Macaca mulatta: one gene and its partner. The protein of the gene in region 1 interacts with the protein of each later gene in a pairwise test. Links are inferred from orthologs where the notes say so. Each region holds a gene or a part of one and is shown on either strand. Other genes may lie near its edges. The genes, in order: PITX1 and ZBTB32.

The links.
Region 2: the proteins of PITX1 (region 1) and ZBTB32 interact in a two-hybrid assay, tested with the Homo sapiens proteins (2 studies listed by BioGRID). The link is inferred for Macaca mulatta from reciprocal best matches to the Homo sapiens genes PITX1 and ZBTB32.

The regions. Positions count from the first base shown.
Region 1 is NC_133411.1:143,947,379-143,951,879, reverse strand, and holds the start of PITX1 (pituitary homeobox 1), read left to right. Parts: upstream 1-1,623; 5' UTR 1,624-2,335; coding exon 2,336-2,369; intron 2,370-2,915; coding exon 2,916-3,152; intron 3,153-4,501. UniProt on the Homo sapiens protein: Sequence-specific transcription factor that binds gene promoters and activates their transcription. May play a role in the development of anterior structures, and in particular, the brain and facies and in specifying the identity or structure of hindlimb.
Region 2 is NC_133424.1:46,949,157-46,953,560, forward strand, and holds the start of ZBTB32 (zinc finger and BTB domain-containing protein 32), read left to right. Parts: upstream 1-1,601; 5' UTR 1,602-1,875; intron 1,876-2,832; 5' UTR 2,833-2,882; intron 2,883-3,102; exon of another isoform or gene 3,103-3,311; intron 3,312-4,404. UniProt on the Homo sapiens protein: DNA-binding protein that binds to the to a 5'-TGTACAGTGT-3' core sequence. May function as a transcriptional transactivator and transcriptional repressor. Probably exerts its repressor effect by preventing GATA3 from binding to DNA.

The DNA of each region.
Region 1 (4,501 bases):
TCTGCCAGCAGGCCCCACTAGCCCCAGCCCCTCTTTGGGTCTCAGGTCCCCTGAGGATACGGGGCTTCACCTGAAACAGTCTGAGGGCTTTTCCATCTACACAGCAGGCATCAAGATCACCAAATAAAGGGACTATTGTGCCTGCCTGGAGCCCTGCCAGAAGTTTGGGCCCAGAGGGGCACACAGCAGGTGCTCAATAACTGCATTAAATGCACTAACAGTGAGGATACAGCCCCTCAGACTAAGCAGTGAGTGCTGCTCACAAAACAGTTCCCACTGGGGGATGGCCCAAAGAGTCACTTTGGTCCCTCTGGGAAGTGAGGGGGCTATGAGTCCCAACCTCCTCTGGATGCCCACAGACAGATCATTCATTTCTAAGTCTCTGCCCAGAGACGCACGGTGCTTCCCACCTTGGCCTGACATGTGGCGGGGTTAGAACACACCTCCTATCCCATGCCAGCCGGCGTTCATGCCAAGTAGCACACATATGCCTAAACTCAGCGCTTCCATAGTGCAGTGAGTACATGTGTGTGCACAGCATCTCCGCATGGATGTATAGGATGTGCGTGTGCGCGCGTGCCCCCATGCTGTCTGCACTCAGGCTGTTCTATGGGATAAGACAGCTAAAAGGAGAATGGTGTGTGAAGGGACACTCCCCAGCATGCTGCAGCACCTGAATATCTCCTTGAAAGGAGGGATCTTCTACTGGAGACTCCAAGAAACGTGGTAAAGGTGGGGCTGAGGGCAAATGCTGGGCAACTGTGCTTCCCCATGTTCCTCTGCCCATGACCAAGACTCATTTCATGGAGGGAGATCTCAGCTTGGAAGAAGGCAGAAGTCACTGAGCCTCCCCAACCCAAACTCCTGGGAAGTGTCATCCCTCTGGCCTCAGACCCTGCATTCTATGGTCACAGACGCACAGTGAGAAAGGGCCAGGCCCTAAGGAGCTGTGCTGTCTCTCCATGGCCCAGAGTGGGGGATGGGGGCAGGGGTGCTTTGGACTAACATGGAGGGAATGGAAGGCAGGTCTGGTTCCAGCCTGTGTGCCTGCCCCTGGCCCCAGCCGCCCTCACAAGGAGCTCAGCTGACCGTGGGTGTCTCCCTGTGATGCGAAGGGGTAAGGCGAGGACTCAAAGGCAGAACCTGCAGAGTGCCCCAGACGCCGACACCTGCGCAGTCAGTGCCACCCACCCAGGAGTTGAGGAGGCACTGGGTTTTGGGGTGAGGACACTGGACACCTCCCTGCTTCTTTCCCAGACCGACAATCTCCCTGGCGCTGCTCCCTTGGGTTGCTGTGTCTGGTGGAGCTGGTCACAGGTGAGGGGCAGAGGGCAGTCTGGGGTCCGCCTATGGCCAGAGAAGCAGGTCAGGGCGGCGCCTTGCCGCCCCAGCTGTGGCCTGTTTGCTCAAGACGCTGAGGTCTTGGGGCCAGGTAACAATTGTTGAGCAAAATCCTTCGACAAACTTCACCTACGTGCAAGGACTTGAGGAGGGAATCACTCTTGGGAGTGGGAGAGTAATGTCTTTGCCTGTGCCCAGTGAAGGCCCATTGGAGCTGCAACTCAGCTACCACTGTGTGGGAGAGAAGCTGGAAGACTGAGGGCTTCCTGGGCTGCTGGCCCAGGGTTGGGAGACAGCAGTCACCTGGCCTACCAGGCCTGTGCCTGAAGCCCTGGGAAGCCAGGATGCAGGCCCCAGGCTGGGACAAAGCTACCCTGAAGGAGGGCAAAGGCTGCCAAGGCCAACCCCATGCCTGCCAAGGCCAGGCCTGGCCCATTTGGCCAAAGTGTAAGGTGTAAAACAAGGGGAGAGGTAGAAGAGGCTGTGGGGCCTGGCTGGGATTCTGGGGTCTTCCCTCTGCATTCTCCAAACGCCTAGAGCCAGCAGAAACGTTTCGTCTGATTAGAAGCCATCATTTCTATCCCAATCCCGGAAAATTGACTGCGGTGCAGAGAGGGAGGCCTGAGAAGCAGCCTTAGGGGAGAAGGTCCAAGCTAATTAGGAGGCAGCATCCGGGGGCCCATTAGAGCGCAGGCTGCTGTCACTCAGCCGGGCTGAGTTCCCGGGAGAAGAGGCTGGAGAAGGAGGGGCAGGCGGCCCCTCGACGAGGACACCGCTGGGAGCTGCCGGAACGGGCCCCGGGCTCTGCCCCCGCCCCGGCGCTGGCTCGAAGGCGCCCGCTCCGTGCGATCCTGCTCGGCAAACATTCACTCATCCTGGGCTGTTCTCGCCAGCGCTGGGGACTTCGAGGCGGCCGAGACGGGAGTTGATTCTAGGCGAAACAAGTCATTTGGGGCCTGAGGTGGGCACGAGCCGCCCGGGACTTGCAGCCCAGATGCGTTTCTTTTGTGAGGCCGAGGGAGAACTCGGTGTGTCACCGGGGAAGGAGGGAGAGGCGCGGCGAGGCCGCGGGGGGCGGGGAGGCGGCGGGAAGGTGGCTGCGGAGGGGGAGGGCGCGGGCGAGGCAGGGAGGGAGGGAGGGCGGCAGAGAGGGCGCGGCGGCGCGGGCGGCTTGGGGCTGGATTCCGCCCGCGCTCCCTCGCTCGCTCGCTCCCTCCCCAGCCCCCTCCCACCCAGGCCCACCCCACCCAGCACCCCTGGCGCAGGGACTGCTGGAACCTGGCTGTGCGCGCTGTCGCTTTAAGACAGACTCTGCCGGCGCCGTCCGGAGCCTTAGAAACCGGCCCCGGATCGCGAGTCGGAGCCGGAGCCGGGGCCGGCCCGGCTGCTGAGGCCCGAGCGGCAGAAGCGCAGCACAGAGCGCTAAGCCAGGCGCCCGGTCGCGAGAAGCTGCCGCCGCCTCTGCCCGCCCGGCCCCGCAGCCCCGGGCGGTCCATGGGGCGGGTACGGCGTCGCTGCGGGCGCCGGCAGCCCTGGAGGGCAGCTGCTTAGGCGCTGCGCTCTTGTCCCCGCAGGTCGCAGCCAGGGCGGCGGGGCGCGCCCAGCCCCGGCCCCTGGAGCGCCCGCCGCGGTCCCCACCTCCATGGACGCCTTCAAGGGGGGCATGAGCCTGGAGCGGCTACCGGAGGGGCTCCGGCCGCCGCCGCCGCCACCCCATGACATGGGGCCCGCCTTCCACCTGGCCCGGCCCGCCGACCACCGCGAGCAGCTCGAGAACTCCGCCAGCGAGTCGTCTGACACCGAGCTGCCAGGTAAGCGCCGTTCCCCTCGCGGCGCGCACGGAGCCTACTTGGGCGCGGGGCACGGGGAGCTGGGAGCAGGGCCTGACGCCCGCGCCGTGCAACCAAGCTCCCTCTCCGCCCCAGAAGCGTCAGGAGCTTTCTTTTTCCCGTTCTCGACCTGATGGTGAACGCGGAAACTTAACGCATACGCGAAGGCACTTCCACGCGGTCCCCACGCGCCAACAGACTGGCAGATGCATGAGCCTACAGCTAGAGGGTTGGACTGACAGCCCCTCTTGATCAGGAGTAAATAGAACGGGGGAAAATTGGATTTGCGCAACTGGGCACTAAGAAGCGACTCGGACGAAGGGAGAGGAGCAGACCGAGAAAGGAATGGGGGTGACGGGCGAGAGAACGCCCTCAGAGAGACAGAGAGAGAGGCTAACACCGTGACAGTAGGCGACAGAATGAAAGAGAGAGGCCAAAGAGAAGGGGCGGGCGGGAAGGGTAAACGGGGAGAGGGGGTCATCAAGTAGAAGGAAGACACAGAAGACGGTGAGGGCGAGCGGGCCAAGAGGCGCGGCCGGACTCCCAGCAAGGCCAGCCCGAACCCCGATCGAGGGATCCGGCCCACGTGTGCAGCCGAAGCCCGGAGCTGCCCGGCCCTGGCCCCCGCCCCGGCTCCGGCGCGTCTCCCTCCGCGCTGCCTTTTTGTACGAGCTGGAGCTTTTTTCCAGCAGCGAACTGGGCCCGGGGGTGGCCGGCGCGGGCAGTAGGGTAGCGAATCCGCTGCCCAGCACAGCCGCCTGGGTCCCCGAGGGGCTCAGAGCTCCCCGGCATGGGCGCCTCTTCTGCTCGTTTCTTCTGTTCATTTCTTAATACACAGCTGAGTGTTTCTTTACACTTTCTTAATCTGTTTGTTTCTCTTTTGCATCCCTAAGTGATTTTTCTGAGAGGTTCTGTTTGCTTGGTTAAAACACAATCAACGCTGAACTATACTTTTGTTTTCAAAAGTTTTAAGTGCGGTCTTTGGTTGGTTTTATTTTTAAAACCTAGAGAGATATATAATCATAGATTGATTTTTTGAACCAAATCTATGAGGATGAATTAACAATTTTAACTTTATCTTTCGATTTTGAAATAATTAATATACTAAGTGTAGGTCTCTGGAATTTAAAATATCTACATGCAACATTATTCTTCCGGAGATTTTAAAAAGTCAATCCAAAATGGCGCGTTTCTCCGGAATTTTCTCAAAATCCATTTACAGTGGTGTTATTTGGGGAATTTAAATTATCTAACTATAATGTGTTTCTCTGGGATTTAAAAATTATCTCTGTAAGGGCCTTATTGGGAGGGAGTTAAAAATCTATTTACAA
Region 2 (4,404 bases), on another chromosome or scaffold:
GAAGGTTGGACTCTCACCACAGCAGGGTTCACAGCAGGGTTCGAGTCCCTGCAATGCCCGTACCTGCTGCGGGACCTGAAATAAACGACTTCAGGCCGGGCGCGGTGGCTCACGCCTGTAATCCCAGCACTTTGGGAGGCCGAGGCGGGCGGATCACAAGGTCAGGAGATCGAGACCACGGTGAAACCCCGTCTCTACTAAAAATACAAAAAATTAGCCGGGCGCGGTGGCGGGCGCCTGTAGTCCCAGCTACTCAGGAGGCTGAGGCAGGAGAATGGCGTAAACCCAGGAGGCGGAGCTTGCAGTGAGCCGAGATTGCGCCACTGCACTCCAGCCTGGGCGACAGAGCGAGAGTCCGTCTCAAAAAACAAAAACAAAAAACAAAAAAAAACAAAAACAAAAACAAAACAAAACAAAAAGGCCGGGCGCGGTGGCTCACGCCTGTAATCCCAGCACTTTGGGAGGCCGAGGCGGGCGGATCACAAGGTCAGGAAATCGAGACCATGGTGAAACCCCGTCTCTACTAAAAATAGAAAAAATTAGCCGGGCGCAGTGGCTGGCGCCTGTAGTCCCAGCTACTCGGGAGGCTGAGGCAGGAGAATGGCGTGAACCCGGGAGGCGGAGCTTGCAGTGAGCCGAGATTGCGCCACTGCACTCCAGCCTGGGCGACAGAGCAAGACTCCGTCTCAAAAAAAAAAAAAAAAAAAAAAAAAAAACGACTTCACCTCTTTAGTTATTTAGGTTATTTAGGTTTCAACGAGTTGATGCACAAGCGTAGCACATGGAAAGGGCTGGATAAACGCGAGGTGCTGTTACTCCCACCACAGCGCCAGTCCTTCTCCCCTTTTTACTTTACTTTTTATTTTTATTTTTTGAGATAGAGTCTTGCTCTTTCGCCCAGGCTGGAGCGTAGTGGCGCCATCTTGGCTCACTGTAACTTCCGCCTCTCGGGTTCAAGCAATTCACCTGTCTCAGCCTCCTGAGTAGCTGGGATTACAGGCGTCCCCCACCACGTCTGGCTAATTTTTGTATTTTTAGTAGAGACGGGGTTTCACTATATTTGTCAGGCTGGTCTCGAACTCCGGAGCTCAGGTGATCTGCCCGCCTCGGCCTCCCAAAGTGCTGGGATTACAGGCGTGAGCCACCGTGCCCGGCCCCTTCCCCCATTTTAGCGGTTTCGCTCCCTATTGGGGCCAGGGACGCCTCAGGCTGTCTCTGTCAAGACCTACAGCTCTGGCTGTTGTCCCAGGCTCTTCCGCGAGGTGCTCTCCTGCCTCCTGACCACCCCCATTCCCCCCCGCTCGAACTCCTCAGCGAGCGGCTGCGAAGGACGCGCCAACACTCCGCGTAGCGGGAAGGGACCGAAATCTCATCACAGCCTGAAATTGCTGCGCTAAACTCCCGCCCCGCTGCCCTCTGGTCAGTTTAAAGCGAAGACGAGCCTTAGGGCCAGTCAGAGGCGGCAGCGGAGGAGCCATGCCCGCCTCCTTGAGGCGCCCTGGCGTCTCATTGGCTGTGCTTGAGAATGAATCCCGGGCTAAGCCGCTTAGAAAGGAGCGGAGCCAGCCAATCAGCGGTGCAACCGCCGCGGGGGCCGGGCCAGAAGGCCCGCAGACAAGCACCTCGGAAGATTGGCAAGGGGCGAGCTCGCAGCTTGTCAGCCCCGAAGCCCTGCCCAGGGGGAAAGCCTGCTGGAGGGAGTCTAATCCCCGGGCCAGTTAATGTTGGGGCAGCGCAATCGGCCGTTCCCTCTGCGGTGGGGTGGTGGGCGGGAGTGCTGACACGTCCGCGCGCCGTTACTCCTGGCTGAGCATACAGTCGAGGTGGCAGTGGGAATTGGAAGTGCGAGTGTCACACTGCCAATCACCGGGCAAGGTACTGCCCCCTCTTGTGTCTTCCTTGTCCCTGTACACGTCCAGGCGAGGCAGAGTGAGCTGTGCCAGCAGTCGTAGTGGAGTGGGACAAGAGGACAAGAGGAGAGAAAAGGGAGCTGTCCACAGGCACCGAAGCCTGGCTGACTTTTTTTTTTTTTTGAGGCGGAGTCTCGCTCTGTCTCCTAGGCGGAGTGCAGTGGTGCGATCTCGGCTCCCTGCAATCCCGGGGTTCAAGCGATTCTCCTGTCTCAGGCTCCCAAGTAGCTGGAATTACAGGTGCCCGCCACCACGCTCAGCTAATTTTTGTATTTTTAGTAGAGATGGGGTTTCACCATGTTGGTCATGCTGTTCTCGAACTCCTGACTCCAGATGATCCGCCCGCCTCAGCCTCTCAAAGTGCTGGGATTACAGGCGTGAGCCACCGCGCCCTGCCTGGCTGGCTCTTTTATTTTATCTTTATTTATTAGAGACAGGGTCTCACTATGTCACCCAGGCTGCAGTGCAGTGATGTGATCATAGCTCACTGCAGCCTCGACCTCCTGGGCTCAAGGGATCCTACTACCACCTGGACCTCTCAAAGCGCTGGGATTACGGGCATGAGACACAGTGCCTGGCCTTGGCTTGCTCTTATGGGCCTCCAGGCCAATCAGGTGTGGCGGCAGCCTACACACCCCTACACACTTCCCAGATGGTAAAGGGTTGAGAGAAAGGTGACAGGGTTTGCAAATGGGAGCTACTTAGGGAGGCAAAATAGAAGCAAGAAAGGCAGGTCAGGCACGGTGTCTCACGGCTGTAGTCCCAGAATTTTGGGAGGCCCAGGCGGGAGGATTGCTTGAGCCCAGGAGTTCCAGGCTGCAGTGAACTATGATTGCACCATTGCACTCCAGCACGGGCAACGGAGGGAGACCCTGTTCATAAAATAAAAATGAAATAATTTTTTTTTTTTTTTAAAAAAAAGGACAGTGGTACTCCGGAGCACTTGCTGAGGGAGCCTCCAGGGCTGTTCAGGTAAGGGAGAATCAGGGTCCAGTCTCTTCATGGAGAGAGTGGGAAAGGGCAGACTCCACAGCCAATCAACGCTGGAGCCCGGCTGGAAATCAATGAAATCTCAGCCTAAGAGGCCTGAAGCCTACGGACCAATGAGACTCAAGGCCCTGCCTCTTCACAGCCAATCAGCTGCAGGTCAGAGACAGACGCGCGGGAGTGGCGCTGTCCTAGGTGCCTCCCATGCTGCCCAGCGTGCTCAGCTGGCCTGAGCGGGAGAGTGCGACCCGCGCTGCAGCCAATCAGCGTCCGCCTCAGGATCTGGGGGTGACCACGTGCGGGAGCCTTGCGTCCCTGGCCTCGCTCCACTCCCCACTTTTAACGGTCACTCGGCCTTGAGCCATCCTGAGTGTATGTGAGGCTGAAAGGGAAGGAGGAACAGGGTCTGGGCCGGTGAGTGCCATAGTTTTTCTTTACTTTCTTGGGCTTGGGCCTGGCCCAGGCAAAGCTGGGGTGTGGGAGTTTGGCCCCGTTGATGATTGGGAAGTGCGGGTTGAGGGTTTTAGCCCTTAGGGCTTTCCTCTGTCTTTGAGAGGCTGGAAATGCAGCCTCCTGGCCACCTTTAGGCCTAGGTTTGGCAGAGGCCAAGCCAGCTTGCCCTCTGGGTTGGTCCACGGCCCCTGAGGCCAGCCTGAGTGCGAAGGGTGTTGTGGGGAAGTTGCAGGCCCTTAGCTCTGCACAGGGTCATTGACCATGAGGTATGGCCTCTGGACAATGAGAGGTTACGAGGGGTCTCTGGACTGAGCCTGAATCTGGTGACTGAAAGGAGAGGCCTGAGGATCTCCAAAGGTTATGTAGGGGCCGGGCACGGTGGCTCATGCCTGTAATCCCAGCACTTTGGGAGGCTGAGGCAGGTGGATCATTTGAGGTCAGGAGTTTGAGACCAGCCTGGCCAACATGGAGAAACTCTGTCTCTACGAGGTTTCCAAAAAAAATTACCTGGGCATGGGGGCACATGTCTGTAATTCCAGTTACTCAGAAAGCTGAGGCAGGAGCACAGCTTGAACCCGGGAGGTGAAGGTTGCAGTGAGCCGAGATTGTGCCATTGCACTCCAGCCTGGGCGACAGAACGAGACCCTGTCTTAAGAAAAAAAAAAAAGAAAAGGAAAAAAAAAGTTACGTAGAAAGTCACTGGCCAAGAGATGAAACTAGTGTTCACTTGAAGGTCTTCTGGGGTCTTTGGAGCCAGCCTGGGCTGGGAGTGAATGTTCTGGACTCCAGGTTGAGATGTTCTTGGGAGATTTCCCAGTATGGGGTCCAGGTTGGATGATGTGGCCAAGAGGTTAGGCCAGTAATCCTCTGGAGATTCTAGGGAGAAGGGTTCTGAATCTCAGCCAAGCTGTTTGCCCTGGATGAAGTATTATTACCCTGTGGTGGCTCTGTACAGAACTAGGATTGGGTGGCCGGGCGTGGTGGCTCACACCTGTAATCCCAGCACTTTGGGAGGCTGAGGTGGGCGGATCACCAGGTCAGGAGCTCGAGACCA